Canis lupus familiaris: one gene and its partners. The protein of the gene in region 3 purifies or fractionates together with the protein of the main gene of each other region. This does not show direct contact. Links are inferred from orthologs where the notes say so. Each region holds a gene or a part of one and is shown on either strand. Other genes may lie near its edges. The genes, in order: SMARCA4, TRIP12, EZH2, RBBP4, PHF1, FAM120A and SMARCA5.

Region 1 (4,288 bases), on a different chromosome or scaffold from region 3:
GAGGTCCACCCTGGCAATCAGTGGTCAGGATCTGAGCTGCTACAAATTATCCTCTGCCTCTTAGATCCCACCGCCACAAACATGGTGTTCTCACCCAGCCTCAAACTCCTTTTGGCCAATCAACCGTCCTTAAAGGACAGGGGTGGGCCTGCACCTCCTGAGAACTGGGGAGTGTATGGGACCTGGCACTACTGTACTCTAGCGAGTTGCCTACTCAGGAGGGCCTGACAAGCTTGGCCAGAAATTTCAGAAGTGAAGTGAGATCTGAGAGCAAGGAACAGCCTTCTCCTCAACCCCCTTCTTTCCTCCTCACCAAATACCTCTACCTTTCCTACTTAGTAAACTAAGGATTTTAAATTTTCAGCAAATTCCTTGGGCCCCCAAGGTCATCCCATGGTCTTGGGAGTTTCAGGGGGCTTTCATTGTTCAGACTGGACTCCTACAAGTCCTTCTGTGACAAGTCACTTGGTGTCTGGGCTGGGAAAAAGAAGATAATTAAGCACAAAACTGAAATCCATCTTAAACCAGACAGCCACACCTAAGCAGATGAGAAAAGTAAGGACAAGGGGACAGAGGGACAAAACAATGAAAACTCTACACGTATATCTGGAAGCCTAATCAAGGAATATGTGGCCCATGGATCACGTGTGTTTGGGGGGCTCTAAAGGAGGGAATGGAGCCTGGAAATCCAGGTAGGCAGCCCAAAGGAATGTGATGGGAAGTAAAACTGCTTTGGGTCAAGAATCAAAAACCTGAAAGCTAAGACATCCAGCAAGCTGCAAGAGGAAAACAGGTCCCCAGGGCCAATGGGTCTTGAGGTAACATGGCCACATCACCTTGATTTCTCTGAGAATCATCCCAATTGCCGAGCAGTCAAAACCCTCACACAATCTATGTCCCAGAAGCAGAACACTATTTAAAAATGAGGGAGCTTCATGCACACGAATGTGGAAGAAGATCCAAGATGAAACAGAGGAAAGAAAGAGGCATCAGTGTAAGGTGTGGTTGGCCCAAACCCCACTTTGCTAAGAATAAGACATTATGCAGGTTCAGCTGAACACAGAAGCCAGCCCAAAGAAAACTTGCCAAACCCTGGTTGGCAGTGGCCAGCAGCTGTCAGGAGGTAAATGATGGGGAACTGACACTTTCCACATCACAGATCTCTGGTGTTTTTCGTGTGTTTATTTTTTTACAATAACCTATTACTTTTGTAATCATAGTTTAAAAACAAACAAACAAACAAACAAACCAGACTAGATCAGAAAAATACCTTAGAAATAAAAACCCAGAAAAGATGTCTGGGAAGTACCTTTGTGGAAATAAAAAAAAGATGAAAGAATTTGAGAATTGCATTATTTTCTGTCTACTTTCAACTTCATCAAAATTATCATTTAAAATAGAAACATCTATCGACATTCAAATGCGGAACCAGACTGCTTAAGGAGTACATCTAGTTTCTTCCTTCACACCAACCTTTGCTTTTCTCTTACAAAAAAGAACAGAAGTCACAAGATGGATGGATCTAGAATATGATGCTAAATGAAATAAGTCAGAGAAAGACAAATACCATCTGATCGCATGTGGAATTTAAGAAACAAAACAAATGAACAAAGAAAAAAAAGGGGGACAACCCAAAAAACAGACTCATTAACTTTAGAGAACTGGTGGTTACCAGAGGGGAGGGATGTGAAGGATGGGTGGAATAGGTGATGGTGATTAAAGACTCCACTTAACCACGATGAGCACTGAGATAATGGATAGAACTGTTAAATCCCCATATTGAACACCTAAAACCAATATAACACTATATGTTAACTATAGTGGAACTAAAATTGAAAAAATAAAGAAAAAATAAAATAAAGTGAAAATAAAAAGAATGGTGGTGGTCAGCCACCGAAGCAGGACAGACTGCTAACACTAAATTGGGACCCTCTAAAATCTGCTTGCTGAGATTATGATTGCATTTGTTTTTTTCCTATCTTGCCTGAAAACCAGCATTATACTTAAATTTGGCCCCATGCTTTTTGGGCATGGAGAACTTTGTTCCCCTATGTATTTTCATTGGCAGACACACCATGGCCCAGCCATGGCAGGGTACTTAGGCTGATCATGGAGGCTGGGCATGATGCCTTCAGCAAAAGCAGTCTTATTTGTCACATTAAAACTACAAAACAAACAAACAAAAAAACTACAAAACAAGGGACACCTGGGTGGGTCAGTGGTTGAGCATCTGCCTTTGGCTGAGGTCGTGATCCCAGGGTCCTAGGATGGAATCCCACGTCAGGCTCCCTGTGGGGAGAGAGAGCCTCTCCCTCTGCCTGTTTCTCTGCCTCTCTCGGTCTCTCTTGAATAAATAAATAAAATCTTAAAAAAAAAAAAAAAAAAAAAAAACTACAAAACAAGGGGTGCCCAGGTGGCTCAGTTGGTTAGGTGTCTGTCTTTGGCTCCAATCATGATCCCAGGAACTGGGATGGAGCCCTGTGTCCAGCTCCCTGCTTAGCAGGGAGTCTGCTTCTCCCTATCCCTCTGCCTCTTCCCCCCCCCTCTAATAAATAAAATCTTTAAAAAAAATTTTTTTTAAATATAAAACTACAAAACAAGGTTTCTCCCCAACACTGTAGTAGGAAAACTGTCCACACCTGACCTGATGGTGAGAGGCACATGGTCTGTGAACCTGGAAGAGCGTACAGGATGAGGCATCTGTTGTCTTAGGTAACATACGGAAATAGCTTATTCCTGAGTGCTTCCCCAACACTAGCTGTTGCATGCTGGCTGCTGAGCATTTTCCTTGCAGATATAATTAAGTAGCAAAACCTTGTCCTACATTTAAAAAGGAATACACTTCAGAACCAACCAAACAAACAAACAAAAAAACCCGTCATGATAATTATAGTGTCTTATCCGCTCTACCTAAAATGTAGACATGTGAAGTCCTCTGTCACCAAGTACAGTAGTCCACCCCCCCCACCCCCCAATGCAGGTTTCGCTTTCCAGTTTCAGTTACCCAGTCAGCCCTGGTCCGCAAGCAGATGATCCTCCCACTGCATTTTGCCAGAAAACCAACAGTAGCTTAACACTACGTCACAACGCATATGTCACTTACTTCATTTCATCACATTGGCATTTTATCATCTCATATCATCATAAGCAGGGCGAGTACAGTACAATAAGGTCTTCTCAAAGACAAAGAGCACATTCGCCACATTAATACATTATATTGTCATAAGTGTTCCATTTTATTATAAGTTGTTAACCTGAAAAATAAAACTGTTGGTTAATTTACCTACAAAAATGTGTTCATTCAGGAGGAGCAGAGAACTACAATCCAGGACAAGTAAGCTATGGCAAAACCACAGGCAAGTCTGGAGAACAAAGAATGCTCTTTTCTGGAAGGAAAGGGGGAAGTCAGAAGGGCTGTTATGAACAAGAAGTCCACTGGGGCACCTAGGTGGCTCACTGGTTGAGCGACTGCCTTTAGCTCAGGTCTGATCCCGGGGCCCTGGGATCGAGTCCCATATCCGGCTCCCTATGGGGAGCTGGCTTCTCCCTCTGCCTATGTCTCTGCCCCTCTTTCGGTCTCTTATGAATAAATAAATAAAATCTTAAAAAAAAGGGGATCCCTGGGTGGCGCAGCGGTTTGGCGCCTGCCTTTGGCCCAGGGCGCGATTCTGGAGACCCGGGATCGAATCCCACATCGGGCTCCCGGTGCATGGAGCCTGCTTCTCCCTCTGCCTGTGTCTCTGCCTCTCTCTCTCTCTGTAACTATCATAAATAAATAAAAATTAAAAATAAAATAAAATAAAATAAAATCTTAAAAAAAAAAAAAAAGCAGCCCACTGGAGTAAATAGGGAGTTTTAAGTGCAGTAGTGTTTCATTGGCTGGGCTGTTGCTGGGGCAGAAGAAAAGCCTTTCCAAAAAAAAAAAAAAAAGAAAGAAAGAAAGAAAAGAAAAGCCTTTCCTCCTCAGCTGGGATAGTAAAGTACTATGACCTGCAAGGTGACTTGAAAGACAGGTCTTTTTCTATTGGGTCTACAACTGATAACAAGCAGTGGGGTTTGAGTGCTCCTCCTTCTGTCCTCCTGATTCTATTAAATGAAGTTTCCTCACATTAATGTTCATACTGCTAATCTCTTCTGTGCATTTATAAATTAAATTTTACCATAAGCATGTATGTATAGGAAAAACAGTACAGATAGGGTTCAGTACTATCCATGGTTTCAGGCATCCACTGGGGTTCTGTGTCCTCCACCAATAAGGGGGTCTACTGTATCATTTCTAGCACTGGGA
Region 2 (3,500 bases), on a different chromosome or scaffold from region 3:
CCTTCCACTGCTTCACATTTGCACAGTCTGGATGTCTTTGTAACTGGCATTTTAACTGGTGTGTGTTGAAAAATTTTAAAGCCTGTGATCCTCTGTTGAGAGAAAAGCTCAAGATAATTTGTGAAAAAAAGTTATTCTATTATTTTCAAAATCAACATAATTAATTCAAACCAAAGCTAGACACTACAAATTGCATTTTATAAAGGCAAAAAATAAGCACTTACCAGTTATGTAAAAAGCCAGCAATTTGAGTTAGCGAAAGTTGTTATAAAGAAATAAAAAGGGTGTGCATGCATGCATATGTAAACATTAAATCATCATTTGATCTCTGTCATGAGAAATCCCTGTGAGCAGAAATCCTTGACCACCAAGATTTAACTATTTCTCCAGAATAAAAGTTCCTCAACCATTTGAGCATGCTTACTTATACAGTATTTTGCCATTGCCTAACTGAATTCTATGGCTTTAAAAACAAAGGGAAAAGCCCTGTTTTTTGCGTTCAAACATCTCTGCTATAGAATTACTTTAAAAACAAACGTTTAAAATTTACTTTGCTAAAAAAAAAAATAAAATAAAATTTACTTTGCTATATTCTTTTGAATGAAGCCAGTCTAAACCTGGTAATATTTAATTGCTCATTTCTGTAAAGGGCTGACAACAGTTAAGACACACACAGACAAGCTTAAAAAGCAGTTATCTGTAAGACTCCATAAGGCATGCAAATAGGGGTATGGGAAAGAATATTCCATTAGACAGGATATAGATATATGTAAACCTACATTATTTTATACAAATCTGGGTAAAAATGAAAAACCTCATTGTTTTCTCAGGCATAGATGAAAATGGCCCCAATATTTCAAAAAATATTCCAGGACAGTATAATGATCAAAATTGAAAACCACATTCCATATTAATTTTCAAAGGCAGAAAAAACTCTAGCCCACATAGATCTCTTTATCTGTCCAAAAATGCATATTGTTTTAATAAAATGTTTTCAAAACATCATATTGTGTATTTTAAAACCAAACTAATTTCTTGTTTTTATAGGCTCCTAGTCATAATTTTCCAGAAACCTTGTAACATCAAGTAAAATACAATAATAAACTATTACAGTGAATTCTTTCCATAAGGCTTAAGTTCGGTAAAACTGTGATATTACGGAAAATATACAAAGTTTTAATGAAACAAGAAAAGTTCATATTCAACACTTATTTGTTAAAACCCTTCAAAGGTAGAACCACTTACATCACATAGAAAAATCACAGTATTGCACAGAACGCAATTTTATTATCCAGATCAACAAAATTCACGGAGAGAAGAAATAGACATTAAAATTTATCAGTTTTAGGAACACTAAGGTCTATCACAGGTTGCCAACATAGCCGCTGGGATAGGTATTTCCAGAACATTAAGTTCAGAACATGGGGAGTGCTTTTAAAAATAAAAAGTCCTTTTCTTCAGTCATCATGACCAAATGGTCTTTGGGCAGATGAAGAGGTTACTAGACCTCTTGCCACTCTACATCAATAAAATTATCCCCACACTCCGATGGCAAGGGCACGCCCAGGCAGGGATCCTTACCTGCCTCCTGTCCCGTTCCCACTGGGGAAGTCATGTACTTTGACTGGAAACTGTTCCATCTGGCTGAGGCAGTTGTTCATCTTGTGAACTAATGCCAACAAAGGCGCATTACCCACTGGTTCTACTCTTCCAATGGGCTCTTCTCCAGGAAGCTAAAGTTATAAATAAACCAACAGGTTAAGCAAGGCCTATTGAAAATGGAACACTCCTCAACAAGAAAATTTAACAGGCAATTTTACAAAAGAGAGCCATTCATCTATTCTCTTTTATCTTTTTTGATAGATTTGGTTGGAATGATTATTTCCATATAAATTACTTCAGAGAGAGACTCTTTGTAGAGGTCCACAATCCCTTATTCGGAATTCCTCAATCTAAAAGGCTTGAAAACACAACATATTTAGTGGTGAGACCTGACTCCAAGAGACCTGAGGCCATCTGCAGTCTGTATCTTTCCTGAGCAGAAATATTCATATGCTTTGCTGCAAAAATATTTAACGAGTATAGAGTGCTACTTAGAATCCACTGGGAATATCAGGTAATATATATGTACTGTATTATAGAACTTTTGAAACCTATTGCCCCAAGGAGTTTCAGTTAAGAGATTACAGACCTGTACAGAATCCTAAACATGGTATAAAACTATATCCAGTATTGCTGCACATTTCATGCACTGCAAACAAATATCAAATCTGCTTTAGGTAGCCAAGTTAAAACAATGAAAGAAGTGCTCAAATACCTACAAACCTGAAAGGCCAGGCGAAAGGTTTCACTAGCATGCAGAAGAATCAGCCTTAGCCTTACTACACAGAGGATCCTGAGTATGCCTTCTCTCAAGTAGTTTTGTAACAAGTAGAATGATGTAAAGTCACTAATATCCAAGAGTAGTTACATTCTTGCTCTCACCCACTGAGGCTGAAGGAAGGGGAGTCTCTGAGCCTTCTGGTGTTCCAATCCAGAGTATAAATGGTGATTGAGTACTCTCAAATAGAACTGTTAATGCTGTATTTTATATGCAAAATGGAGAAGTATATACCCATGCTATTTTATACCTATAGCTATGTTTACCATATCTCCCTATACGTACATATTGTGAACTACAACATATTTAAAAACAAATACTGAGAATAAAATACATTCACAAGTGAAAGGCTATTAATGGCTGGTCTTAAAGAGAAAAGACTCAAGACACGCTAACCATGGAAACTGTGGCACCTGTGCCATTAAATCACCATTCCATTGCTTTACTAATATACTTGATATTAAAACAACAACAACAAATAAAAAACACCAAGGAATCCAACTGTATCACAAGCTAGAAATCTGAAGTATCCTGACTAGCATCTAATTGAAATTACTGTGATGAAAATACACACATCAGTGACCAATGATTTCTTTAAGGTGATATAGGAGCATTATGAAGTAACTTACTGGTGAAGAAAAAAATACGTGAAGGAATCTCTTTAATCTGATCTCTCGGCTCACAGCATCCTTTTCACTTTTAGATGTCAAATAAAGTAACAGCTGCTTCACAAATCCACTATGTTGGATTTCAAATGATGAAACATCAGACTCTGAGACTATGCTACGGATTTCTACAAGGCACTCAGCTCCACCATCCACCTGAAAGAGTTGGGAACGGTTTTTCCATATTGATTTAAACAGTCCTAACTAAATGTGGAGTTCACATTTCCTCAAAAAAGAATACATTTTGAACATCTTTAAAACAAAACAAAAGAAAATGAAGAGAAGGCGGAGGGAGTGATGCATTCTTGGTGGATCCTTGGAAACTATGATCTTACATATATAATCACAAAATGTTAGTATTTCATGGAAGAAAAACAGCTTGCATACCGCTAACATAAAAAAGAACTCTCACATTCAACCAACAGTAAATAAATAAAGACGACAAAGAATGAGAA
Region 3 (3,500 bases):
CCATCCCAAGGGCGCAGAGCTCTAGACGCTTCCTCGGTATCCACGCAGCTGTGCCCTCAGTACCCGCTCATGGCACTATGCTCACGCCCCACTGCGCTGACGCTTTCTGGGGGCCAGAGGACCTGGGGGCCACCTCCAGATGCCCTCCACGTTCTGTGCCAACTCTACTATGACTTAACTTCCATGATCCAGTTCTAACCTGCCCACAGACCCGCGCAGGCCCCTAGCACACAACCCCTTAATGGGGCCCCATAAATCCCTGTGGGGTAAATGCGTTTCCTAAAAAGGATACAACAAAGCAAGAGCTGCCATGGCCTTGTTTTGGCTTCCACAGGCTTTTGGTCAGCAATTTAAAACAGGAACTCAAAAATAAATAAATAAATAAATAAAACAGGAACTCACACAAGTCATCAAAACGAAATACTTACACTCTGAGCTACATTGACAAAACTTCTCACAAAAATTTTGTGCTATCACACAAGGGCACGAACTGTCACAAGGCTGCCGTGGATGGTCACAGGGTTGATAGTTGTAAACGTGGTTAGAGGAGCCGTCTGCGGAAGGAGAGCAGCGCGGGTCAATCCAGAGGCGAGGGAACACGACGCCCGCGAATCCGGCCTTCCCCGCCACCTGCGGGCTGCGGCACGTCCTCCACACTGTTTGTTCCGAGTGACTGGAGACGCCACCTCCCACCCCCAAGTGCCGGCCAAGGCCAGAGCACTGTCACCCCGGCCCCCAAACACTTCCGTAACTGACTGGCCACCCCGCGCCACCCACCCGGAAGTTACTCCGCAGACAGCCTCCCTCTAAATGGGCTTCGGGTACTGAAGTCAATTACATCAGAACATCCCAAACGCTAATCCAGTTACTATTCTCAAACAAATGAGCAGGCATTTTTAAGTTAATTATGAACGGAGGATGCTAACCCTTTTTCAGCTGTATCTTTCTGCAGTGTGCCGCCCACAACCTGCAAGACACAAAACAGAAGCCATCCTTGTGAGGCTAAGGAGTCGGGTCACGGCACAAACCCAACAGAAGCTGCCTGCGCAAGTCAATGCGTGCCCTGAACATAACCGCACTTTGGATCCAAGGACAGCCGGCCCCCGGCCGCCGGGTTAGGGCCACAGACCCCTCCCGCCACCCAAAATCTGCAAGTAACTTTTGACTCCCCAGAACTTACCTACTGCTAGCCTGTGGCCCATAAGCCCTACTGATGACTGGTTAGGACGGATTTTCTACGTCCTACGTATTCTATACTGTGTTCTTACAATAAAGCAAGCCAGAGAGAAGAAACTGTTGAGAAAATCCTGAGAAAATACATTTGCGGTATCAGAAAACCCATGTTAAGTGGCCCCGTGTTGGAGGCTCAGCTATGACCACGAGGAGGACTCACCCCAACCTGGGCTCCTGGGGATGGGAGGAGCCTGAAATAGTACCGTTTCTCTAATTCAGGCATCTTTAACCACTGACAGAGGCTGTATGATCAAAATTCAACCAAGAAACTCAGCTGGACCTACCACAGCTAAGTTCTTCCGGTTCTAAATTAGCCACCTCCCGAAAGAAAGGGGACATGAGCGGGTGCACAGCTGCGGAGTGCAGTCCTGCACCCCTAGTCGCGGGTGTGGGGGGGCAGGCGGTGTGGTGGGCAGCTCCTCACACAAACCCAAGCGGCCGCGCTCCCTCCTCCCTCAGCGCCCCCACTTCCAGGGGCGTCAGCGGGGCATCTGTCAAGAACAGACGCCCGGGTGGCCCAGTGGTTGAGCATCTCCCTTTGGCTCAGGGCCTGATCCTGGAGTCCCGGGATCGAGTCCCACATCAGACTCCCTGCAAGGAGCCTCCTTCTCCCTCTGCCTGTGTCTGCCTCTCTCTGTCTCTCGTGAATAAATAAATCTTAAAAAAAAAAAAAAAAGAAGTGACTCGCATGAAGAAAATTCAGGCTCCTGGGACTCCAAGCAGCTTGGTGCTCCCATCACCCTCAACACCGCACGCAGGGCACGGGTTCGGTTCGTGCAGGTGGGGCCTGTGGTCAGCAGCCAGTGCAGAGGTTCCCTGAACTGAAGGGCAGCGCGGTGAGCGTCGCTGTCCCGACTCCCCGCACCCCAGGCCACTGCAGGCAGAGGAACAGACTGGCGAGCGAGCGTGTGCGGCCACATGACTCTGGCATCCAACCCACAGCAGAAGCCACCCACCCAGCCTTACCGGTGTTTCCTCTTCTTCTTCCTTGGGGGGGTGTCCACGTCCTCGGCCGGGGCTGGAGCAATGATACTCGATTCTTTGACACGGAACTCATACACCTAACAAGAGGTGTGGTCACAGGGCTGTGAGCACTGGCAGCTCCGGCAAAGCGCCCCAGACCCGCCCCTGCTGGAAGCTTCTCTGGCCTCTCCGTGCTGCCAGGGGTGGGGGTGCTACCAGGGGCTGGGCCACTCTCAGTAGGCGCCCGAGGCTGACCTGACCCTACTGGGCTGCAGACTCACCCCGACATATCCATAGTCGTTAGAATCGTTTTCATTCAGGTCCCTCCCAGTGGAAAACACCACCAATTGACTTCTTTTTCGGGACATGAGCAGGAGCACAAGAGGAACCGAGAACGGTCTGTTTGGACAGTGACTGCTCATCCCCCATCTCAAGCTCTCAAACTGCGGTGTCAGACATGCTCACCTGCCGACAAGTCTTGGTCCCGATGAGCCTGGCAATGGCACAGAAATTGTCATAGTAGGTACCGATGAGCACCCGGAACATGGAGGCCTCAGCGCCGCTCCACTCCACGTTCTCGGGAGGCTCAATGTTTGGCTTCATCTTTATTGGCGTTTGACACCGAGAATTTGCTTCTGGAAAACCAAAGTGAAGCACTGGTCAAGAAAGGACGACTAGAGTCAATAAGTAAACCTCAGGGCTGTGCTGAAGAAAAGAGCAGGAAGCGACTTGTGCTGAGAATAAACTCAGCCGGGAACCATCTGCAAGTCTCCCGTGGAGCTCAGGGCTGGTTCCCTTTGACACAACCTTCTAAGATGCTGAGGGGGCGCCTGGCTGGCTCACAGGCGGGGGGCTCGTCAGGGCAGCACGTGACCCTGGATCTCGGGGTCCTGAATTCAAGCCTCACGCTGGGTGTAAAGCTTACTTAATACAGAAATTTTAAATCAAAATGAAAGCTGAGGAGTATCTCCCGTTGCTACTCAGGATGCGAGTTGTGGGTTGAATGGACATGGAAAACCCCAGCAGCAAAACACTGGTCGGGAGTTCCCACGGGCTCTTCTAACCAAAACCACCCCCAGCACAGCCACAGGATTGACCAGAACGATGCCCTGTCTCAGAGAGACGGAGAAGGACGACACACCGCATCGCTGACCTTCCAGTAGCCGGGCAGGCGGTCTGCACAGGCCAGGCTGGGGTTGGGGTCGGAGTGCGGGGTCGGGGTGAGGGCAGAAGGCAGCTCCACACCCCCGAGGGAGTTCTCTGGCTTCGGCCCTCTCCTCACAGCGAGCACTAACCCAGGGAGC
Region 4 (4,257 bases), on a different chromosome or scaffold from region 3:
TAGCAATCTTTAGGGATGATAGCTAAATGTTTAAATAGAAGATCAGAATATGTACTATACTTTTGTGTTTACTATTATCTCATTTACTCCCCAGTTAAGGAACTATGGTGCCATGAGAGATTATATAACTTGCCACAAGTTATGAAGCTGTTCATGGCAAAACCAGGTCTTTTTTTTTTTTTTTTTTTTTTTAAAGATTTTATTTATTTCTTCACGAGAGACACAGAAGAGAAGCGACTCCTCGCAGGAGCCGGAGGCGGGGCTTAATCCCGAATCCCGGGATCACGCCCTGGGTTGAAGGCAGACGCCCAACCGCTGAGCCACCCAGGCATCCCCAAACCAGGTCTTTTTACTAAAAGCACGATCCAGGTAAAACACCAAATTACATGTCCCCTACTCAGCTAAGTCCTCTAACCTAATGATACTCTAACCACCCCACTGTTGGGAAACACATACGGGCGACCACCCGGCAAATGCTTGAAAATACGTTTATCTTTAGAATGAAGACACTGGTAAAATTCCCACGAGGTAATGGGACTAGGTAAATGTAGAAAGAATTCAAGGAACCATAAAAGTGGCAGCCCAGTTTTCTGACTCTCAGGCCAGGTGGCTGTTCCCTTCAGCACTCCCGGCTGAAGCACCTCAGGGGCAAAGCGGAAGGCGAGACCGGAAGACCTGGGCAAGGCGAAAGGGCATGAGAGAAGTGAGCCATCTACTCACACTCGTACTTCCGAATGGCTGGAGGATACTTGGCCTTGATCGCCTTCTGCTCTTCAGTCAAATTGTAATCTCGAATATCTTCCTCTTCCTGCGCCATAATTGCCGCACTGGACACTCTACTTCCGCCCTTCATTAGCTGGACTTCAGCCCTGATTTACAACTTCCGCTCTAGACTCCGCCCCTTGGCACGCGCCCTTAAAGCACCAGGACCCCATTCTCGCAGATAGACTTTATATGGTTAACACTTCTGTCCTAGGACTCGCTGCCGGAAGCACATCTTTAATAGGCTTCGGCCCTATTTCTGCGTTTCTTCATCCGTTCTAAGAACAAAGGAAACATACACACTGGAGGACGTGGGAGGAGGGAGACACTTTAGAACTAAATACCCGCTTGTCTGGGTGGTGAGAAGCCTTTTCTTTTTACCTCACAGAGTCGATAACTACACCCGAAGCCACCCTAGATTTCTCATCTGAGTACTTTTAAAGTGTCGGGAGCTGCACAGCTTTTAAGAAAATGGCTGCCCCCTGGAGAGTGCGGACTAAACCTCTCACGTGACCCGACGCGCGCACTCCCACCGGGTCCGCGCGCGCGCAATCGTAGGAAGTCGGCTCCCGGCCGTGTCGGGGCAGGGGAGGGGCGCGCACCTCGGCACCGCAGAAAGCGACTCTGCGCGTCTGGATAGGCTGCAAACGCGGCTTCCCCGCCCACCCCGCCGTTCGGGACGCTGCGATTGGCCGGTGTTGGCGCGAAGGTGCGCGAGTAGGCCCTCACGCAGGGGCAGCAGGAAACAATAGAGGCCGCGCGCGCAGAGCGAGCGCCTGTAGCCTCCCCGCCCCTCCCGCAGCGCTCGACCCCGGGATCCCCCCGGCTCGCCTGCCCGCCATGGCCGACAAGGAAGGTAAGGGCCGCCCCGGGAGGGCGGGGGGTGCCGGGCTGGCGCCGCGGCCTCGACAGGGCCTAGCAGTGAAGGCAAGCCCGACTCTTGAGTGCTGTCCCCACCATCGAAGGCGTGAGGAGAAATCGCCCCGCGGGCGGGCTAACGGCGCGCCAGTTCCTCCGACACGGAGGCCGGTGGCCGCGGTGTGGAGCTGGTGGGGGGGCCCCGGCGGGTGTTTGGGCCCTCCCCGCGCTCGCTGTCGGCCTGCCCGCCTCTCGCGTTCTGCGTGCGCTGCTCCCTACCCCGGGGGCCGGTGCGCGGGCCTCCGCGCGGGTTCCGTCGATTCAGCGGGAACGCGAGCGTGCTCCCGAGGCCCGGCGCCGGCGCCCGAACAGCTAACGGGAGTGACGCGCCCCGCTAGCCCGAGAGTAATTGCGGGCCCGCGAGGCGGGGAGGGGTGCAGGTCGCTCCGCCTCGGGGACATTTAGACATATCTGCTCCATTTCAGAATCTTGACTTAATAAGCAGTGCCGGTAGCTTTGGAAGCGTTGGCTCGGTTTCCATTTGTGTTCGCTAACTTAATTTGTTTTTTAACTTTTTAGCAGCCTTTGATGACGCAGTAGAGGAACGTGTGATCAACGAAGAGTACAAAATATGGAAAAAGAACACCCCTTTTCTTTACGATTTGGTGATGACCCATGCTCTGGAGTGGCCTAGCCTAACTGCACAGTGGCTTCCAGATGTAACCAGGTGATGTGAATCTCTTGAACGTTATCTTGTGTCCTCCTCAGCGTTGATTTCTCACGTTGATTTTTCCGTGTCTTCCCCCAGTCACCCGAAGAGGGCACGTAATGATAACCTATGGGTGATGTTTTTTTCCTAGGCCAAAAAATAATACAAAATGTAAAAATAGTTTTGCAATGTACCTGATAAGAGAAAACTTGTTTTCTTTTCCTGATAACGAATTGAATAGCCTGTTATAATTACAGTTGGAAAATAATGTAAAATGTGTCAGTTTTCAAAAAAAGCTATGATTTCAGTTCTTTCAGCAAAATATTTGAATTGTAGGTAGTAGCTGGTTAATATAAAGAGGTATATGACATGGTACCTGCCTTCAAGGAGCACAAGTGTAATTGAGGCCCATGTAAACTAATAATTACAGTAACCTATGCTAAAAGCAGTTTTACAGAGATACTTAGGATATTTAGAACTAAGAACTGAAGATGGGGTGGTTTGGGGGTTTTATATAAGGGAATTATGCATAGTGAGAGAGAAATCACATGTAGGGAAGGTCTTAAATGTGACAAGCTTACCTCTAAGAAGGTAAGCTTAATAGTACTTAATTTACTTTCCATTTGTTTAGTCTGCTAGGTGCTATAAATTAGGGTGTACAAGTTTAGATGGACACCTTCCCTGCCTTGATTTCTTGTGTATATAGTATGGTAGATTACCACCCCCCTTATTTGTAGGGAGTATGGCCAAAGATCCCCAGTGGGTGTCTGAAACCACGGATGGTACTGAACTCTGTTATGTTTCTGAACATACATAATTGTGATAAAGCTTAATTTATAAATTAGAAACGGTAAAAGATTAATAGAACAATGGTTATATAGCTTTGTGCAGGGGGCAGTATCGTAGCCAATGAGGTTTATCCGAGGCACGATTATTGCTAATAAAACAATGGTTATAACAACATACCATAATAAAAGCTGAGTGTGATCTCTTGCTGTCAAAATGTTTCACTGTAATCACCCTTCAAGTAATATTGTTGAGAAAATGCCTGTGTGATGAAGTGAGGTGAATGACATGGGCATTGTGATGAAGTATTAAGCTACTTATTTACCTGATAAATCAGAAGGGAGATCATCTACTTCTGGAGGGCATCGTGGTTGACTGTGGGTAACTGAAACCATGGATGGGGGTTTTCTACTGTATTACAGTAAAAAGTATCATAAGAGTAGCACAGTTAAAATGATCAAGGGAAGGAAAAATCACCTCAACTTAGGGTATCATGAAAGGCTTCCAGGAGAAAGTGACAATGCAAAGATGAAGGTGAATTTAAATAATTAAAGGTTTATCAAGACCAAAGTGCCTGTTGGAATAATGGGTTTTCTTTTATAAAATTGCTTCACCATTCAGAGTAACATTTAAAAATTATATTGTGTGCTGAATAACTAAATTCCTTCGAAATTCATCTCTTTCGAGTTCAAAATATGGTTATTAGGCTATGTTTCAGCTCAACAAGTAATAGAAATTTTATTAATTACTTAAACAGGTTGCTACCTTCACAGTGGCATTAAAAAATGAAGAAGTAGAGTTGGAAGCTTTATCATGATCCATGTTCACCTATGGGTCATCAGAATTGCTTGAGCTCGAGGAGCCTGGGTGGCAGTCTGTTAAGTGGCTGACTCTTGGTTTCAGCTCAGGTGGTGGTCTCAGGGTCAGGAGATCGAGCCTGTCACTCTGTACAGAAGACTTCTTCTACCCCTCCCCACACACTCTACTCCCTTGGGCTTGCACTCACTTGCACTCTTTCTTTTTTTTAAGAAAATATATTTATTTTATTTGAGTTCAGGTTAAGTGGAGTCATTTCTGTCAGGAGTTCTCAGTGATAGTCAAATCATTTAGAAACTGGTGGCAGGGGGGATCCCTGGGTGGCT
Region 5 (4,168 bases), on a different chromosome or scaffold from region 3:
GTCAATACAAAAGCCTGGAGAGCCCAAGGTGGGAGGCTGGGGGTGCTGAGAGAGGAGCCATGTGGAGGTGGTGCCCACTCACCAGCGAAGCTGTAGCCTCCTGACCTTCTCAGGGCCACCCCGACACACACAGCATTCGAACTCGTAGAACCTGGAAGTGGGCGAGGGGGAGAGAGCGTGGAGGACTTATGAATAAGGATGGGGTGCGTAGGGGAGGTGAGCTTCAGAGGCTGGGGAGACATGGAGCTGAAGCAGCATGGGGGCCTGAGAGGGTAGAGCAGGGCAAGAGTATTCTCCCTTGGCTCCCAGAGAGCCAGCCCCATCTCACCTGTCCCCGTAGAGGAGCGGCTTGCTCAGACACTGGGTGCAGGCCTCATGGAACCACTGCAGGCAGCTCTGGCACTGCAACATTTTCAGGTTCCACCTGAGAGGGAACACAGGACTGGTGACCTCCAGACACTGCCCCGACCTGAATGGCCCCAAACCCTACTCACCACCTACTTCTGCTTTCTTCAGCACTCCCTTCATCCTATTTTTTCTCCTTCATTCCCCAGGATCCCCCCACCCACTCCATCATTCATTCCCTCCCCACCACTCCTCCACCCCTGTCCCTCATTTACTCACTCCCCAGGGCCACCACAGTAACAGTAGCTCTGCTGTCGGTTGCTCAGATGTCCAGCGTCCCAGTCTAGCCCCTTTAGTCCATATGGCAGTGACAGCTTCATGCCCAGCATGGCCCGGGCATAGGGGCCCTTCTTCAGTGCACCCCCCCTCTGCAGGGAGGAAACAGGCCACCTCAGACGGGTAGGGAACAGGAAGGCTTGGGAGAGGTGGTGGGGGAGGCTCCCACAGAATGGTGACCTTACCTTGGTGGCAATGGCAAAGACACACTGGCGACAGACCCAGGATGTGCCCTCTCCCTCTCCAGGGGCTGGGGCTCTTGGAACGTGGCAGTCCTGGTGATAAGCTGAATAATGATAATATTGATGGTAGACCATTTATTGCACAATATACCTGTGTGTGCTAGTGACTGGGATAGGAGGAGTCTGGGCCACCTCATTTCATCTTTGACTGTGATCTGGCTGCAGTAGATAAGTTACCCTTATTTTACAGGTGAGGAGACAGGCTCCTAGGGGCTTGGGAATTTGCCCAAGGTTTTATGGTTAGTAAAGGTGTATTTGAACCATCCTCTGTCTACAAAGCCCACACCTCCTGATTCCATGGCTATTTCTCCCTGTGCTGGAAGAGAGGTTACAGAGTTGAGCAGACTGGCCAGAGCAGTGGCTTGGGGACTCAGCCAGGACAGGTGGCCTAAGGATCAGTGGTGGAGGGAAGACTTAGAGGCAGCCTGGAAGGTTCAGGGCAAGCTAGACCATTTAGGTATCCTGCCCTCTCACCGTGGCGACACTTCTCACAGCTGACCAGCCGGTTTCCAGGGACCACAGTCTCAGAGCGACAGACACAGCAGAGGAGTTCCTCCCCGGGGAGGGCAGCTGTGAGGGAACAGTGTTGTGGGGCCTGTCCTTAAGCCCCCTTTACATCCCCCAAGCCAGGTTTCTGCTTTCCACAGCATGCATATATTTGGGCCTCTAAGGTCTCACCAGGGCTAATGTCTTTCCATAGAACCAGAAACTGGGAATCGTCCTCAAACTGGACCAGACACACCTCCCGGGAACTGTCCACCTGGAATGGATGAGCACAGGAGATGAAACAGGAATCGGAACTACATAAGGAGAATGGGGGGAAGGTAATAAGTCAGAAGTCAAAGGTCTTACTTTCTTGATGGTCCCCAAGTATAGCAGTCCATCCGTCCACCTGGCCAGCACATCTTGACCCTCCCAAAGTCGAGGCCTGGGGCCTGAGGTGGGAGCAGGGGAGGCTGGGTCCCAAAGTGGGGGGGCACCAGAGCGGCTCAGCCGGGGGGGCTGTGCCATTGCATCCTGGGGGGGGGGGCTATCCAGAAGTGGGATGGGAGAAGGTTATGAATGTTGAGAAACTGTCCCCATTTTTCTATGCCTCAAGGACTCAAGCAGCTGTGCTACCAGTCTCCAAATATGAAATACCTGGATAGGAAATCACACAGCACCCCTCCCAAGCTTCATGACTCCAGCTTTTCCAACTCTGGTGACTGGCTCTCCTCTCCCTAACACCCCCCACCCCCCAACCTAGTTCTCTAGTTTCCCAGCTTCCAGAGCTCCCCTGGGATACTGTATCCTGGCCTTGAGATTTTAGGAGGAATGATGGTTGCAGAAGCAAAGGTTACCATTCAGTTTCTACTGTCACCTTCTGTTTAGAGATACTGTAATTGGGGTGTTCTGCTACCCAGAGAATGTGTTTTGGGAGCTTTTCTGGAAATGTTTTCCAAATTAGAAACGGCTGCCTCCCCGGGCCCCTGTGTCTCCAGAACAATAATCCCGATGCCAGGTTATGGCAGGTCACCCTCAAATACGGGGCTCCCTGTCCCCCGGGTTAGATAACTTCCTTGAGTGCCCTGGGAGGGGGGCGTGTCCCAGTCCCGGTCTCTACTCCCCAGGACAGCGAGTCCGAGAGGGGACTTGAGTCAGCCCAGCGCGAGCTGATGCCTGGGCGGCGAGGCTCTCCCGCCCGCGCCCTGCGCGCCGACCCCCGGCTCCCTGCCCCCCCCCACGGGCGCCTCCCGCCGCCTCCTTACCAGTGACAGCTGGGGCCGCCGGGAGCCGGGCAGAGGCAGACGTGGGAGACCGAGGCGAACCCCCCGCGCGGGGAGGGCACGTCTGGGCGTCGGAGGGCGGGCAGGCAAGGGCCGGGGGGTCCCCAGGCCCAGCCCCTCCGTCCCGGCAGCTCTGGGGCGTATGACGCAGCAGCCAAAGCAGCGGCAGCGGCAGGAGGAGGCGGCGGGGGGAAGGAGGGGAGGGGAGGGGAGGGACAAACCGGCTCGGGGGGAGGGTAGTGGGAGGGGAGGACTGAGGGGAAGGAGGAGCCGGGGGGGGGGCGGGCACCACCTCACCCCACCTCCCTCACCTCCAACGGGCCTGGAGGGCGCCGAACGGGTGGCGGCCTCCCCACGGCTGGGGCGGGTGGAAAGTCAAGACCCAGTGCGAGAGGGAATCCCTGCAGCCCCTTCCTCGGAGGGAGATCCGCCCTCGGGGCAGCAGGGAATCCCCCCCTTCCCCGCAGCTGGTCTCCAGCCTGGCCCCCGCCCCATGCCACATCCGTTAACTGCCCCCCCAACCTCCATGGTCACTCCAAGTCCCGCCCCTCGGCCCCAGTTCACGACCCCGCCCCCCATTCACCCGTCCCGTCGCCCCCGCCACGCCCTCCTCCCTCGAGTGCCCCGCCTTCCTCCCGCCTTTGCCCCGGCCCCGCCCTCCCCGTGGTAAGTCTCCCCCCGCCACACCGCCGCCGCGCTTCTGCGCATGCGTGACCCCTCCCGCGCGCGGCACCTGGGTGGACCGAGCCCCTCCTTTGCCGGGCGGTGGCCGTTGGCGGTTGGCGCGAGCGAGTCAGCGGGCGTGCAGCCCACCCAGCGCCTGTAGGGCGGGTACACGGACCGGGAGAGCTAGTAGCGAGGCGGTAACGCCGCCGAGAGCCAGCCAATGGGCAGCGGGCGGGCCGGCCCCAGTTCTTCGAATGGGACGGCAAGGAAAGAGCGGGAGGGAGAGCCCGCAGTTTGCAGGAGGGCTCGCTGGCCCGGCCTCTGGACTCGGGCTTCCACTTTCCCGCACCCACCAGACGAGCTCTCCGCGTGGAGCTGGGTGGCCTGCGGCAAACCAGTGACGGCGGTCGGCCAGTGGGCACATCTCCTAGAGGCGGACAACCAGGGTAACCATCTAGTCTCCAGGAGATAGCCAGGTAGAGAAAAGCTGAAACCCTTGCTCTGCAAAACACAAATACTCGGCAGAGTAGACGATCCACAGTTCCCATTTTTACAGATACGGGCCATTGTTAACAAAACCTTTATTTAAAGAAAAAAAACTTGTTCTTTATTTGATAGACCCAGGTCACAGAGCGCCCCTCCCCCCAACAAAGCATCCTTCAGCGCCACCCCCACCCCCCCTTCCCAAACAGAGGATCTGGATCTGTCTTCATTTCCTGTTAGCCTGGGCCGTACCAATAACACACTGGTTCACCTGCGGGCAGAGGTTTTAGAATAAAAATATTTTGTGAGTAACCAAAATAACAGTTTTCT
Region 6 (3,500 bases), on a different chromosome or scaffold from region 3:
GTGTGTCTCTGAAGGCAGAAGCCGGTCAGGGTGGGCTGGGGGACCACAGTGAGCCGAGCACAGCCCCTAGCCCAAGTGGTGCTGCACTGCAGATGGGCTGTCAGGCCCCGCTTCTAGGGAGGGGGCTGCCTTTGCACCTCACTTATTAGGTGTATTTCATCAAAGCAAAGGTTTCCGGGGCACCTGGGGGTATAGCCGGTGGTGGAGTGTCCATCCGACTCTGGGTTTCTGCTCAGGTCATGAACTCAGGGCTGTGGGGTCAAGCCCCATGTCAGGATCCCCTCTCCCTCTGCCCACCCTACCCCCCCACAACTCTCTCTCAAGTCAAATAAAATAAATCTTACAAACAAGTTTCTAAGATGCTGAGTTCAGCTTAGAGAGGCAGGCAGCTCAGTTTCTCCTGGCCGATTACATCTCCGTGTGTGGGTTATCAGTGCGTGAGACACAAAAGAGGCCTGATGTTTGCACAGTGGGGGTGGAAATGCAGACTGATTAAACGTCCTAACTGTAGAAGTGGGCCGACTGGCATTCTTTAAAGATCCTTCTCAGGGGAAGTTCATCAGGCCCCAGGTCCTAACATGGTAGATCCAAAGGGGGAGGAAACTCTAGCTCTCCCATGCAGAAGGTACTCGGCGCTGTCCCTATAGGCTGAGCCTTCGGGGAAGAGCTGGTCAAGACGGTCCAGGAGGAAAAAAAGACGGCACTTTTCTTCTTAAATCCTAACTATTTCTCTAAATAACGTTTTGTAATATAAATACCACTAGCAGTCGTGGGGCCACCCCGTGCAGCTGTGACTAGACCACACTCTTTAGCACTGACGCTGCCGGTCCACCTGGGCTGAGGAGCTGGCCAGGACCTCAAGCCACCAGCCCCACAGACCAATCCCTCGGATGCGCGGCACTGCCCCACATTGCACGTTACCTGAATCACACCCTGGTTTTTATAGCCTCTGCCGTAGTACCGTCCACCTCTTCCAAACGTTCTGATCACTGGGGTAGAAATCACTCCCCTTGGACGCCTGAGTGGAGAGAAGGGGACAGGACACACAGGCTTGAATCTGCCCAGGCAGCTGAGACATTTAAAACCATATCGATCTCACACAGTAGCACTGGTCTATCAAATCAGTCACATGGGATTTATTCCAACATTCTGAGAAATTGATCTTATTTTGGGGCCCACATCCAGTCATTCAATTCTTAAGCCAAAATGCTTCAAAAAATTGCTACTTTTTTTTAAGTATTGAAAAATGGTTAATTGAATAAAGTGTGGATAGTTATTTAACAATGGTTGAAATAAATCATAATGCCACATATTATGGAATCCTATGTAACCAAAAGAACATCAAAGAAATGTATCTAATGAGTCAGAATTGAGAGAGTCAGAATTGAAAGAACAAGGGGTGGTTTTCTTATTAACACAAGTACATTTTCAGAACGTACCCTCTTGCTGGTCCTCCAACAGAAACTACCTGTAGGGGGAAAGGCCCGCGGCCCCCGCGGCCCCGTCTGCTCCCAGCCCAGTGGCCGACCACGGTGCCCGCGATTTCAAGCTTCCCTCCCTGAGAAGGTATAGGTTGGATTCCTGCACAAAAAAAAAACAGAACAAATCTTGACAATCACGGAATTAAAAATAGCAAAATGAAACAAGCAAGCCAATTTCTGCTCAATTGTGGCCTGTATTTCATATAAAACCCCTCTCCCTGGTTTTGTGAAGACTCTTTATTTATCACGTAAAGTATCTATGTGCACCTCATTTGATTTCAATGGTTTTAAGTGCTGTTAAAAGTACACCTGAGAGTGAAACAGTTGTGCTGGCTTCTCAAAGGACCTATAACGACTGAAACGACACATTACAAATGCACAGCTTTTAGACTGAAAAAGGTTCCACGAGGTGTTGCCACCGGATGCTCGCGGTGAGCCGTCTCCAACATCACAGTGGACGCTGGCAAACTCAGCACATTTTCTCCTTGGGGAACTGCTTCCAGGCCTCCTGCCTCCACCACGCATCATACAAATCAACCGGTCAACGTGGCTGGTATTTCTCCGTGTGCTGTTTAATTATCCCCTCTCTTGGGGTCACACATACCCACTGTATTCACTGACTTCTGCTAGCTATGGACCGCCTGCGTTTTCTAAGGTCTTCTGACTTAACGAAGAAAATTCTCAAATAATTAACTGCTAGGAACACTTCTGATAAAAACCAAACAGAAGAGAACCTCAAGTTTCTTATCTCTTGGCAGATGGGAGTGGATTATAATAAACTCTCCATCAGGACAGTTCACTGCCCAATGAGACCTATGATAAGCCTCACGTTCCTAAACGCCACGCTGAAAACTATGAAAACAGATGAAACAGGTTTTGGTAATATGTTTTATTTGACCCAACAGACCCAAAATAGTATCATTTCAACATAAGCTTAATATAAAAACTATTAGTTAGATACTTTGTGGTCTTTTTTTCCATGTTTGGTCTACAACTGGATGTGTGTTTTGTGTTTGGGGCTCAGCTCTGCTGAGGCAGGCACAGGCCGAGTGCTCCAGAGCTAAGCTAAGGTGTCTGCCGGTCAGTCCCCAGGACAGCTGAGCTTCAGACACAAGATGGGGGAAGTTATGTAGCAGGATCCTCTTTGCCATTTCAGTCTAAGAAACTACTTCTGCCCCACAGCGTCCACAGCCACCAGCCCACCCAGAGCATCATCCCAAGGGCACGCTGATGTGAGCGTCCACACGGGTGCAGGGAGCTGAAGCCGACGGTGAAGCAGAGCGCGAACTGCACACTGTGTGGCGTGGCAGGAAGGAAAGCACCGGTAGGAGGCAGGGAAGGGCATGCGGGGCTGGTGAGGGGAGACCTGGCCCCAGAGGCCCTGCAGCGGGGGCTGCGTTGGCCTGCGAGTCTTTCCTGCTCCCCCAAGGAGCTGAGCCGCAAATACATTCCTGGGCAGGAGAGAAAGACTGTCCTGTCCTAACGTTGCTCACACATGTATGTGGAGAGCCCTGTACCTGGGTGGGTGGCCGGGTCTCACTCCGCAGCCCCAAAGTACGGGACATATGACAGGTTACAAATCACACCCTCTAATTACAGAAAATCACAAGACGTTATTTCAGAAGTAAACATTAAGCCTTTTTTCTCCCTCGTGAGGCTAACACATACAAGAGGAGAAGCAAAAAGAAGTTTAAAATAAACCCATTTATCTACATGGTATTAGAGCTTTCTTTAAAAATCTTTCCCATGAAGTGGTCTGTGGGCAGTTTCTGTGCCAGGAATCCTGCCACGGCCTCAGAACCTTCTATACCAGCTCATCCTCTTGTCGGGGAGCAGCCGCCCATGAGCACCGTCTGCAGCCTGTTCCACCACAGGAGGCGACGCTGGGGCTGGGCACATGGGGCCGCGTGGACACCCAGAGGCCCCCTGGAAGGCAGAGAGCTGGGGTGGGGGTGGGGGGGGACGGGGCCAGGAGCGGGCCTAGCAGCAAGGATGTGGTGCTGGGCTGGGACAGCGGAG
Region 7 (3,500 bases), on a different chromosome or scaffold from region 3:
TGCCACTCTTAGTTGTAAACTTTGAAATATCCTGTTAATCCATCATTACATAATGAAACCTACTGCATACCATATCTCAATAAAAAGTATTCTTTTTTTAAAAAAAAAGATTTTATTTATTCATTCATTCAGAGAGAACGAGAGAGAGGCAGAGACACAGGCAGAGGGAGAAGCAGGCTCCATGCAGGAAGCCCGACGTGGGACTCGATCCCGGGTCTCCAGGATCACACCCCAGGCTGCAGGCGGCGCCAAACCGCTGCACCACCGGGGCTGCCCAATAAAAAGTATTCTTATATGGGCTGAATAGTATCATGCTGGAATATTTGAAAATCACAATTAGCAAGTTTTTTTTTTAAATATCAAGAGATCAAATCATAATCACAAGAAGTTCTGATAAGCAGAAAGACATTAATACTAGTACTCCCCAATCAGCTTTTTCTTCGAAAAGTGAAGTGGGGGAAAAAAGGTAACGTGTAAAAAAAAAAAAAAAAAAAAAAAAAAAAAACCTTCATATTGCCAAACTTTATCTAGGGACTAAATAAATTAAATTTCCTAATCTAAAGAACTGAAACTCTTCAAAGCTTATTTTGATCACAGAAGAAATTTAAACATAAGAAAACTAAGATCTTCAATTGGTAGGAATTATAGGTCAACCCTATAATTTGTGTTTTCGAAAACACAAGCATCAAAAACAAAAATATCAAGAAATATTTTCACTTACACAAAGCTTCACTTTTTGTATTCCAATCAACTTGTAATAAAGGAGTATGGATAAAGATCAAATTGTTCTCTTGGATCTTAAATGCTTGTGTATCACAGCTTTGCATCCCTAACAGAATCCACCAACATCTATGAATTTCAAAGTTAGGATGTATCTACAGAACATGTTTCTTGATTTGAAAGCTACCTCACTACTAACAAAATGGTCTGTCTTACTGAAACTACTTCCCCATTGGACAGAGGGGGAGCTGGTCAGACAGAAAGCAGTTCTATGATTTCTCATTATTTTTAATTACATCTCTTACTCTGCAAGACAGTAATACAAAGAGATACACCTGAGGCTTGCTCTTTGACTAATGCCTACAGAGCTATTAGCACAAAATTTTGCTCTAAAATTTAAGCCCCACCCCCATGCTCACTTCAGCAGCACATATACAAAATTTGTACCCCCAATAAAACCAAAAACCTAAGTAAAAAAACTTAGTTTTTCTAAGTTGATTATAATTTTCATTTTTCAAAAATGTTTCACAGATAAAAATAATTAAAAATACTATAAGGCCGGTGTTTTTCTAAAAACATGGATGAATATGAGAGGGAGAAGAACTCGCCATTACATTATCCAGGAGAAACCTTACTGTTTGGCAAGTTCCAAAGACTTTCGCATGTAAACACTTCACTCTAATAGTTAATATACTTCTTGGTCCTAGATAAGTCACTTCTTAGTTACATGAATGGTATATAAGTGACTTGCCTCTACTTCTTATGCCAACCTCAAAATTGCATGAAGACTAAATGAGATAATGGATACAAAGTATTTAGCACCTTGCATGGCACAAAGTAAGCACTTAATAAATAATTATTAATAAAACTAATAATAAGCCATCATTTATTGTCTTCACATATTCAGAGGTGTGATTAACACTATGGTTGGCATTAAGAGGATATAAAAGAAATGCAACATTCCTTTACACAGAAATTAAAAGGCAGTTCACAAAATGAAGACACACAATATGGAATCATCAGCAAACAATATTAACAGTCTCTCTTTATAGACAGATAAAAGAACATGCTCAAAATGCAAATTTGAGAATGAAAGAAACCTATATGACCCTGAGGTAATTGAAGGGTTTTTTTTCTATTTTTCCATTTTACTGGAATAAATACTTTATTTATACTTTAATAAATACTTTACACCCCATCACCAACCTTATTATAATAAAGCTTCATGAAAACATAAATGTCTTCCTTAAAAGCTAATCTGGCATGAGAATTTAGTTCCCTTCAATCAACCCAAAATAAAATCCCACTCTCAAGCTCTAGTCCTATTTACATAAACATTTATTCTGAGCATCCCTCTCACTAAATTACAAATTAACTCCATGAAAGTAGGGACACATGCATTGCATTCTTTCGCCATTTTATTCTCAGCACTAAGACCAATCAATGCCTGGAACCTGGTGCTGTTAAGTAAACAGGTGTAGACTAGAAAACAAAATATAACATCAGATTCTTTGAGTTTCATCTTTATGTCTTCATTTTACCCCAGAATAATTAACAGAGTGCTTTTCAGTACATATAAATGATACTTACCACAGCTATATTTAGTATGTACCACACTGAATGCTGGGTATTTTATATACATTATCCCCTTTAATCCTTAAAAATCCTGAACTTCAATTCCCTTTATTCCCATTTAACAGATGAGGAAATAGGCTCAAAAGGTTTATAAAAGACCTAACTGGCAAAGCCAAATGCAAACCTCAATCTTCCTCAGCCTAAACCCATCCTCTTATGAAAAACTAAAGCTTACTATTTTCTGGAATATAAATATTGTTCATGCCGCTAGCTTGATCCCACAGATGGTCAATAATAAGAACCTCCAGAAAATCTAGGAAAAAAACATTTGTCAATACAACTTGGTAATTTTTTTTTACAATTCTAAGACTCACCTTGTTGAATGACTATTGAATCCAGTCTGAGTTTCATCTCAGCACGTTCCACTATTCTTTCTTCCACAGTGTTATCAGTTATGAAGCGGAACACTCTGACTGTCTTGGTTTGTCCAATTCTATGTGCTCGGTCCTAGGCAAATTACCATGTTATTTTGAATAGTTAAAAATTACACAAATAATACTTGATTGTGTATACCAAAACGGAAAACTAAAATATTCTCAGGTGTGAAAGTTTTTAATGTAACAAAACTATTCTAAAAATAGATTTTTATTAGATTAATATTTCTCAGATCCTTGCAGCTTCTCTGTTTCAATCAAATTAATTGATTATTTCACAAGGAAAACTTCTAGGTTATACTGATATAGAAGTCACAGGTTTCTAAGAGTGCCTCGGTGGCTCAATCCGCTGAGCATCCAACTCTTGATTTTGGCTCAGGTCATGATGCCAGGTTTGTGAGATCAAGCCCCAAGTCAGCCTCCACACTTGGCATGGAGTTGGCTTGTCCCTCCCTCTTCCTCTGCTCCTCCCCCTACTCTCTCTCAAATAAATAAAATCTTAAAAGTAAATAAATAATAAATAAAATTCACACATCTCCAGATAAGACAGATAAAATTATAAATTTTAAGGTGGATGATAAAAAATTGTTTAAATCTTTTTTTCTTAGTTTTAAATTCAAATTGTTTTCCCACCTAAATCATACATCAAACTTCATTGCTATTAGGGAAAGAAGTAACATGAAAAAAGAACTCCACAAACAATATAAAAATCCTAGTTTTCAAATAACTACATACAAGTAGTCAAATTAATTTGAATTCCGTTTAACTTCT

Evidence for each region.
Region 1: the proteins of EZH2 (region 3) and SMARCA4 purify together in Homo sapiens (affinity purification with mass spectrometry; 4 studies listed by BioGRID, with this or other methods). This does not show direct contact. The link is inferred for Canis lupus familiaris from reciprocal best matches to the Homo sapiens genes EZH2 and SMARCA4.
Region 2: the proteins of EZH2 (region 3) and TRIP12 purify together in Homo sapiens (affinity purification with mass spectrometry; 3 studies listed by BioGRID, with this or other methods). This does not show direct contact. The link is inferred for Canis lupus familiaris from reciprocal best matches to the Homo sapiens genes EZH2 and TRIP12.
Region 4: the proteins of EZH2 (region 3) and RBBP4 purify together in Homo sapiens (affinity purification with mass spectrometry; 12 studies listed by BioGRID and IntAct, with this or other methods). This does not show direct contact. The link is inferred for Canis lupus familiaris from reciprocal best matches to the Homo sapiens genes EZH2 and RBBP4.
Region 5: the proteins of EZH2 (region 3) and PHF1 purify together in Homo sapiens (affinity purification with mass spectrometry; 15 studies listed by BioGRID and IntAct, with this or other methods). This does not show direct contact. The link is inferred for Canis lupus familiaris from reciprocal best matches to the Homo sapiens genes EZH2 and PHF1.
Region 6: the proteins of EZH2 (region 3) and FAM120A purify together in Homo sapiens (affinity purification with mass spectrometry, with the first as the bait; 3 studies listed by BioGRID). This does not show direct contact. The link is inferred for Canis lupus familiaris from reciprocal best matches to the Homo sapiens genes EZH2 and FAM120A.
Region 7: the proteins of EZH2 (region 3) and SMARCA5 purify together in Homo sapiens (affinity purification with mass spectrometry, with the first as the bait; 3 studies listed by BioGRID). This does not show direct contact. The link is inferred for Canis lupus familiaris from reciprocal best matches to the Homo sapiens genes EZH2 and SMARCA5.

The regions. Positions count from the first base shown.
Region 1 is NC_049241.1:50,658,908-50,663,195, forward strand, and holds the start of SMARCA4 (transcription activator BRG1), read right to left. Parts: upstream 2,801-4,288; 5' UTR 2,768-2,800; coding exon 2,640-2,767; intron 1-2,639. UniProt on the Homo sapiens protein: ATPase involved in transcriptional activation and repression of select genes by chromatin remodeling (alteration of DNA-nucleosome topology).
Region 2 is NC_049246.1:42,284,206-42,287,705, forward strand, and holds part of TRIP12 (E3 ubiquitin-protein ligase TRIP12), read right to left. Parts: intron 3,202-3,500; coding exon 3,010-3,201; intron 1,734-3,009; coding exon 1,582-1,733; intron 108-1,581; coding exon 1-107. UniProt on the Homo sapiens protein: E3 ubiquitin-protein ligase involved in ubiquitin fusion degradation (UFD) pathway and regulation of DNA repair.
Region 3 is NC_049237.1:1,636,664-1,640,163, reverse strand, and holds part of EZH2 (histone-lysine N-methyltransferase EZH2), read right to left. Parts: intron 2,832-3,500; coding exon 2,662-2,831; intron 2,295-2,661; coding exon 2,200-2,294; intron 968-2,199; coding exon 927-967; intron 555-926; coding exon 429-554; intron 1-428. UniProt on the Homo sapiens protein: Polycomb group (PcG) protein. Catalytic subunit of the PRC2/EED-EZH2 complex, which methylates 'Lys-9' (H3K9me) and 'Lys-27' (H3K27me) of histone H3, leading to transcriptional repression of the affected target gene.
Region 4 is NC_049223.1:68,051,763-68,056,019, reverse strand, and holds the start of RBBP4 (histone-binding protein RBBP4), read left to right. Parts: upstream 1-1,457; 5' UTR 1,458-1,602; coding exon 1,603-1,618; intron 1,619-2,199; coding exon 2,200-2,347; intron 2,348-3,208; exon of another isoform or gene 3,209-3,369; intron 3,370-4,257. Other genes in the region: ZBTB8OS (protein archease), read right to left, coding at 721-853. UniProt on the Homo sapiens protein: Core histone-binding subunit that may target chromatin assembly factors, chromatin remodeling factors and histone deacetylases to their histone substrates in a manner that is regulated by nucleosomal DNA.
Region 5 is NC_049233.1:2,998,984-3,003,151, reverse strand, and holds the start of PHF1 (PHD finger protein 1), read right to left. Parts: upstream 2,801-4,168; 5' UTR 2,672-2,800; intron 1,954-2,671; 5' UTR 1,935-1,953; coding exon 1,776-1,934; intron 1,684-1,775; coding exon 1,602-1,683; intron 1,494-1,601; coding exon 1,398-1,493; intron 968-1,397; coding exon 867-967; intron 774-866; coding exon 625-773; intron 425-624; coding exon 329-424; intron 152-328; coding exon 83-151; intron 1-82. Other genes in the region: kinesin-like protein KIFC1, read right to left, coding at 4,065-4,109. UniProt on the Homo sapiens protein: Polycomb group (PcG) that specifically binds histone H3 trimethylated at 'Lys-36' (H3K36me3) and recruits the PRC2 complex. Involved in DNA damage response and is recruited at double-strand breaks (DSBs).
Region 6 is NC_049222.1:98,994,421-98,997,920, forward strand, and holds part of FAM120A (constitutive coactivator of PPAR-gamma-like protein 1), read right to left. Parts: intron 1,582-3,500; coding exon 1,440-1,581; intron 1,019-1,439; coding exon 922-1,018; intron 1-921. UniProt on the Homo sapiens protein: Component of the oxidative stress-induced survival signaling. May regulate the activation of SRC family protein kinases. May act as a scaffolding protein enabling SRC family protein kinases to phosphorylate and activate PI3-kinase.
Region 7 is NC_049236.1:43,050,807-43,054,306, reverse strand, and holds part of SMARCA5 (SWI/SNF-related matrix-associated actin-dependent regulator of chromatin subfamily A member 5), read right to left. Parts: intron 2,803-3,500; coding exon 2,670-2,802; intron 1-2,669. UniProt on the Homo sapiens protein: ATPase that possesses intrinsic ATP-dependent nucleosome-remodeling activity.